2 linked regions of the Nothobranchius furzeri genome follow. The protein of the gene in region 1 binds, or shares a complex with, the protein of each later gene. Links are inferred from orthologs where the notes say so. Each region holds a gene or a part of one and is shown on either strand. Other genes may lie near its edges. The genes, in order: baz1a and chrac1.

Evidence for each region.
Region 2: baz1a (region 1) and chrac1 share a complex: the UniProt entries of both Homo sapiens proteins name them as parts of the CHRAC ISWI chromatin remodeling complex. The link is inferred for Nothobranchius furzeri from reciprocal best matches to the Homo sapiens genes BAZ1A and CHRAC1.

What each region holds. Positions count from the first base shown.
Region 1 is NC_091758.1:18,204,271-18,207,197, forward strand, and holds the end of baz1a (bromodomain adjacent to zinc finger domain protein 1A), read left to right. Parts: intron 1-483; coding exon 484-571; intron 572-2,051; coding exon 2,052-2,227; 3' UTR 2,228-2,421; downstream 2,422-2,927. UniProt on the Homo sapiens protein: Regulatory subunit of the ATP-dependent ACF-1 and ACF-5 ISWI chromatin remodeling complexes, which form ordered nucleosome arrays on chromatin and slide edge- and center-positioned histone octamers away from their original location on the DNA template to facilitate access to DNA during DNA-templated processes such as DNA replication, transcription, and repair.
Region 2 is NC_091759.1:18,090,658-18,094,913, forward strand, and holds the start of chrac1 (chromatin accessibility complex protein 1), read left to right. Parts: upstream 1-1,178; 5' UTR 1,179-1,284; coding exon 1,285-1,437; intron 1,438-1,564; coding exon 1,565-1,691; intron 1,692-2,103; coding exon 2,104-2,189; 3' UTR 2,190-2,209; exon of another isoform or gene 2,210-2,328; intron 2,329-2,504; exon of another isoform or gene 2,505-2,595; intron 2,596-2,813; exon of another isoform or gene 2,814-2,905; coding exon of another isoform or gene 2,906-3,047; intron 3,048-4,256. Other genes in the region: uncharacterized protein si:ch211-57n23.1, read right to left, coding at 2,906-3,047. UniProt on the Homo sapiens protein: Forms a complex with DNA polymerase epsilon subunit POLE3 and binds naked DNA, which is then incorporated into chromatin, aided by the nucleosome remodeling activity of ISWI/SNF2H and ACF1.

The sequences.
Region 1 (2,927 bases):
AGCCTGACCCAGAAAATTCCAGTGCTGTGAAGACATCCTGCCTTGCTCCATTACCTAAGAGATCTCATCTATGTGTCCTTGACAACCACAGATCTGTAGCCTTAACGTCACACATCATGAAAGTCCTCCAGAGACGGCTGTTTGCCCACCTGAAAGAGCAAACGTGCACCTTTCAGTACTATCCTCAGTTTGAGACGAAGACCCCCTCACATTCCTGGACCAAACAGGCTGCTCTGTGAGGACCATGTTCTTTGGTTCCTCCAGTGTCAGAAGCTCTAGAACATACAAGTGGACGCCTTCACAGCCACCTGAGTCTGTGAGACTGAGGGATCGAGCGCAACGGCTAAATACATATAGCGGAAACCCTGAAAGCATCTAATTTCCCTTTAGGACTAATCATATTTTAATTTGTCTAATTTCTTCTTTCAGTTCAACCTTCACCATGTTTTATCTTCATAAGGTTTCACCCGTGTCTCTGTTCAGGTTCCTGATTACTACGACATCATCAAGAAGCCCATCGCTCTGAGCACCATCAGAGAGAAGATCAACAACTGTGAATATCAGACTGCAGGTGAGAGACGCTTCATCAGCAGCTCGGGGTTTTGTTATATAACTCACAAAGTAAAACAAGTTTTTTAATTGCATTTTTTAAATAAATAATGAAAATGAGTTATTAACACACTGTAGTAGATATTAGACCTACGTGGTACAATCAATCAATCAATCAAATTTTATGTGTATAGCACCTTCCACTGCCCTTGCATTGAACATAACATAGAAACAACAAAAGAGCAAAGAGACCACAATTCTAAAAATTCATATTACATAAAAGCCAAACGATAAAATAAGTAAGTCTTCAAACGACTCTTAAAGACCTGCAGTGATGGGGACTGTTTGACAAGTGGAAGCTCGTTCCATAGTGTTGGAGCTAGGACAGAAAAGGCCCCATCACCTCGTTTTTTCAGCCTTGTTCTTGGGACGATGAGCAAATCTTGGTTAGCTGAGCGAAGAGAGCATGTAGGGGCATGCATCTGAAGCAGCCCAGCCAGATGTGGTGGGGAACCACCGTTGATGGACCGAAAGACAAACAAGACAAAAAACTTTGCCCGGCAGTCCACAGGAAGCCAATGTAGGGAAGCCAGAACAGGAGTAATGTGTGTTGTTTTGTTCGAGCCTGTCAGAATGTTAGCTGTTAAAACAAAATCTACATCATGTGACCTAATCTGACCAGTGGTCATGTTTCACTCTGCTCAATTTAGTTGATTTGTTGTTTTTCAGGAAAAGGTGGATTGATTATTATTATTATTATTAAATTGTTTATTTGATGCTTTTACTACTGAGGTTTGAAAATTAATTTTTTTTTCATGTCTATGAATTCTTACTAATCTGAAATAGTTAAGAAAATTTTAAAATGCACTCAAAATAGTCTCACTGGGTTAATTTAATTTAACATTCGCACTCTGGTAAGGAATACTTCTAACTCATCAATAGGGGTGTGCATTAGCAAATCTGGTGATGCATAATGTACATCACAATACAGGTGAGATGATACGATGTATTGTGATAAAAGCCAGATGATAGGGATGCATGTTTACCGGCATTTCTTTAACCGGCTATGTTCTTTAACCAGCCGGTTAACCGGAAACCAACCGGTATGAACTGCTGCCACCTAGCATCGGAGTGTGAATTGCACCACACAAAAAGAAATACATTAAATGTAAATTGTAAATAAAAACATGGATACTCTGCTTTTAAATATCAGTCAGTTTATAATAACGCAGAATACCACGATTTCCAGCACATCAATATTTTCTTACATGCCTAACCATCAACCAGGCCAGAGAATCAATGGCAAATAGTTGAGTCACTGAAAGTCCTTTCTTCTGCTCGAGTCATGCCGGTGCACACATCACCCCGCTACATGGTACTAATGTAACGCACAAACTGAAATGCACCAAACACGAATCAAGACGCGTCCTAAAAAGAGAGGACCACGAAATGCGATGATGTGTGCGATTATAAGAAACTTTGACCCTTTCTGGTGTTTGTAGGTGAATACATCTCCGATGTGGAGTTGATGTTCTTCAACTGTCTCCAGTATAATCAACGTCACACTAATGAGGCAAAGGCTGGACATCGCTTGCAGCAGTTCTTCCACTCAGAGCTCGGCCGACTCGGCCTATTAGAATGTGGCACCACCCCTCCTGCCAAACGCTCCCGACAGTGACCTCACGTTGACCTCACTACTGTTCATCTGCTGCTGATGTTGGACTTTGTTCTGCCAGCGTTATCGCATTGATCCATCCTCACAAACGTTTGTTTTCTCTGAACACATTTCAGACTAAACCCCTTAAAGAAAATGTGTTTAGTGTGAGAAAACACAAAGCTAGAGGGAAGCGATTTGTTAGTTAATGAAGTAAATGTTCAGATAAATGTTCTTTCTCTAGCCTCAGGGGTTTGTAGTTTTTGTTTGGTTCATGTTTTTTCTACTAAAACTGTTGTTGATGTCTTCACTGGTTTTTATTTCGCTGAATTCCTGCTTCCTAGAGCGTGCGTGCGTGCGTGCGCGTGCGTGTGCGTGTGTGTGTGTGTGTGTGTGTGTGTGTGTTTTCTGGATGGATTAGCTGTAGACACTACACTGGACCTGCTGCAGCCCTCCCCACTCCCTTTGATTTCCCTTTTGTATTTATTTTGTAGAAGCCTGTTTTTATTTATGATTGCTAGCTTTGTGTTAAAATAAATGTTTTCTAAATAGCCACTGCCCAGTTTCTGTAAGTCGGTTTCCTTTTTGCTTTTGGCTTTCCATGAGCTGTATAAGATGTGTTTTGCTGGAGCGGGTTGTGATGGTTCCTTACACATCTATGAAAAAGTAAACCATGGTAACAGATTGTTTTCTTAACCAGGTACAAACTAAAAGTGTGGATTTC
Region 2 (4,256 bases), on another chromosome or scaffold:
TTCAGCGTTTCCTTTGTTCTGAGGTCGGAAAACTATTGAAGTCAAGCGCCGCCTACTGGTGTGGAGGACTGCGTCGGGCGCTGGGCTGGGGCAGCTAAATGTGAGTCAGTATTTCCTTATTATCGTTGTTAAAATAGATATGAGTGCATGAACAACAACTTTGTGTTTTTTCAGGATTAAAATAATAAACTATTGATCACTAGTATCACTCATTCACATGTTTAAAAAGTTTGGATTGATATAGGAATTAACTTATTGAGTGCTGAAGCAGCGGCCTTCTTCTTCTTATCATTATTATTACAATGGGAGATAACCGTTTATTTGATTATTATCTGTTTAACAAAGTTGTTACTTTCCATGCCTTTGATTGTATCTTTTTCACTCTTTATTTTTACAGGTTTTTGCTGATTGAAAGACTGGCTTTCCCCACTAACAGACAAATAAAACGTCTTCTACTTTAAATTATTTAAATTATTAATATTTTTATTGTTAGTAGTAGCTAGTAGAAGTAGTAGAAGTAGTAGTAGTAGTAGTAGTAGTAGTAGTAGTAGTAGTAGTAGTAGTAGTAGTAGTAGGAGGAGGAGGAGGAGGAGGAGGAGGAGGAGGCAGAGTAGTAGTGGTGGTTGTTCCTGTTTTTTAATGTATTTCATATTTTTTACAGATTTCCTTAAAAGTTTTTAGAAAATTGGTATAATCCTTTGAGGAACTAAAATAATGTTAATTACTTTTGTTTACTTTTATAAACAATTCTGCAGTTTATTTTACTGTATTCTAACAAACACATTTTTACACTAGGACCTGTGATTCATGGAGAATAGAAACAAATGCAAACAAAATAAAAAGAGTTCCATTTCCTTTGCCTCACTATGGCAAAAATAATGATAGAGTTTATTCGAGATTATTCATTTGTATATTTAAGTATATTATATTAAATTATATTATATTAAATATAATAGTTTTAAACAAGCTGAAAGTTGTTTCTCTCAAGCATGGTTCTGTTTTGACCGTTTCCCAAGAGCTGGTTGGAATGATTGTCAGGTACTTTTTTAAAATACAAATATAGTATCAGGGTAAAATTTAATTACTATTTATTAAATTTAATCTAAATATACAGTGTTGTTTGAAATAACATCTTTTGTGCTGGGTTATACTCCTGCTTTCCAGCGGGAGGCGCTGTTTCAACGTAAAGACCACCAAAGAAATTGAAGACGGCGAAGAAGAAAGGCGTCACTCTTCAAAACAAAACTTAAAGTTCAGTCATTCTTGTCCTTTGTCCAAACAGAAATGTCTCGAAACAACCCAAACAAAGACAGCCAGACGCCGGACGCCAAAAAGTCCATCTCTCTCCCGGTGTCCCGGGTCAGACTGATCATGAAGAGCTCTCCGGATGTCTCCAGCATCAACCAAGACGCGCTGTTCCTCACCACCAAGGCTACTGTAAGCTGCCCTTGATGCTAATGTGGTTGTGTTTCTATTAGCGGGGGGTTAGCATAACTAGCTGGTGGTTGAACTAAAATCGTGTGAAGTTAAAATCGCTAAATATAGTTTTTAATCTGTTGTAAAGGAGCTGTTTGTGCAGCATCTGGCCCTGTCCTCCTTCAACAACGGCTCCGGGAAGGACAGCAACACCCTGGAATACAGCGACCTAGCTAAAACCACCGAGGAGAACGAGACCTTCCACTTCCTCACAGGCGAGTCTGGAGCTGAGCATCAGCGCGTCCTGAAGCCAGATTATTAGATACACTGGCCTTTATTGTATTTTAATGTTTTATTTATAAATAAGTGTTTTAATAAAGTCCCAGACACGAGGAAAATAGCAAAACGCCATTGGAAGCTAGCTTTTGGACCATTTAGGAAGATTTATTTTAGCTTTCCTGTATTTTACTGCCAAAAATGAAAGATTGGAATGAAACAGAATCAAACCAATAAAAAAAAACTTACAGATGAGAGAGAGAGCGATATGAATTTTCCACAAGAACTGTAAGCCGCTTACATTTATTTTAGCAACATGTAATTTTTGTGCCATTTGAACTTTATTTCTCAGAGAAAAGACCGATAATAAATAAAATTTATACTGAAAAACAGGTTTTTTTAATCTGACAGATATTTTGCCGAAGAAGATCTTGGCTCGAGATTACCTCAAGACTTTGGAGCAGATGCAAGAAGAAGAAGAAGAAGCTGATCTTTGACATGAAAGCCACTTTCCCTGGTGTGTGTGTGTGTGTGTGTGTGTGTGTGTGTGTGTGTGTGTGTGTGTGTGTGTGTGTGTGTGTGTGTGTGTGTGTGTGTCAGAGGAGACACTTATGGACTTTAGAGCTTTTTAAACACACGGTCTTGGAGAAGGTGGAGCTTAAATTGCCTCAGAGCTCAGCTCTGAGGAATTTAGACCAAATAATGGCAGTAAGCAAATAAGATATTTAACACTGGTTTAAAAGGCAGCACAGACCAATCAGTTCAGTTTAACATTTTAATTTTGGCTGAACACAGTCGGGGCTGTCTTTTAGGTGCTTCCACTTGCACCAGAAGTGAACCGTTACCTCCTAACAGACGTGACAAGCAGCTGGAACACAGACGTGACAGAAAACACGAGTGGATGAAAAACTTCATCCACCTGTAGAGAGGCGACGTGTTTAGATGAGAGACTGCGAAGCAGCGTTTGTGCCTCTCCAGATGTGAAATGCCACCTCAGCTTCACGTCATTTTCTTTGTTAAAATGTCTCAGAGGGAATCGTCGTTGTGAATTTACTCGTGTGTTTAGATTTGATATAAAATAAAGATGAATGCTAAAATAAATGCCTCTCGTGTCAAGATCCGATGTTTTATACTTTTATGATGTTTCACAAGCATGTTGCAGGGGATTGTGGTTGATATTTAGTTAGCTGCTGCATGAATGGAACATGAATCGTCAGCGTCGGGTCAGCTTCGCGAGTCGAAGCTGAAAATGAAACAGATTCTTCTCTAAAGTAGAAAAGTGACTCTCCAGGCTGTTCGCCGTGCGCGCTCTCCTGTCGAGACCGTCCCTCGTGTTGGCGAGATGATCGTTCAGCCTAAAGAGGACGAAACGAGTAAATATGGATAAGTTTGTTTTTAATCAAACAAACACATTCAGTTAACGACCTCTGATGTCCAGATGATGACTCAGCTTGTTTTCTACTTTTAGATCCATCATGTAATAATCCAGATTTCACGTGCCTCGTTAAGGATTCATAGCTAACCTCCACAGCTGACTCTGGATCAGTTTGTTCATGTAAAACAATCTGAACAGCTCATTTGCAAGAAATAGCAGATTTGTCTTTTTCAGCAGCCTGCTTAATCTCTTAATCTCACTCTTAAATTCTCAGTCTCACTATTTTAATCTCAATCTCACTATTTTAATCTCTCAGTATCACTCTTTCTTTCTTTCTCTCTCAATATCTCTCTTAATCTCTCAATCTCACTTTTAATCCCTCAGTTTCTCTGTGTCTCAGTATCCCAATCTCCCTCATAATCTCTCAATCTTTCTTAATCCTTCTCTCTCAATCTCTCTGTTATTCAGTTTCTCTCCCCCCCCCCTCAATATCACTCTTAATCTCTCAATCTCACTTTTAATCCCTCAGTTTCCCTTTGTCTCAGTATCCCAATCTCCCTCATAATCTCTCAATCTCTCTTAATCCTTCTTTCTCAATCTCTCTGTTATTCAGTTTCTCCCCCCCCCTCAATATCACTCTTAATCTCTCAATCTCACTTTTAATCCCTCAGTTTCCCTTTGTCTCAGTATCCCAATCTCCCTCATAATCTCTCAATCTTTCTTAATCCTTCTCTCTCAATCTCTCTGTTATTCAGTTTCTCCCCCCCCCTCAATATCTCTCTTAATCTCTCAATCTCACTTTTAATCCCTCAGTTTCCCTTTGTCTCAGTATCCCAATCTCCCTCATAATCTCTCAATCTTTCTTAATCCTTCTCTCTCAATCTCTCTGTTATTCAGTTTCCCCCCCCCCCCTCAATATCTCTCTTAATCTCTCAATCTCACTTTTAATCCCTCAGTTTCTCTGTGTCTCAGTATCCCAATCTCCCTCATAATCTCTCAATCTTTCTTAATCCTTCTCTCTCAATCTCTCTGTTATTCAGTTTCTCTCCCCCCCCTCAATATCACTCTTAATCTCTCAATCTCACTTTTAATCCCTCAGTTTCTCTTTGTCTCAGTATCCCAATCTCCCTCATAATCTCTCAATCTCTCTTAATCCTTCTTTCTCAATCTCTCTGTTATTCAGTTCCCC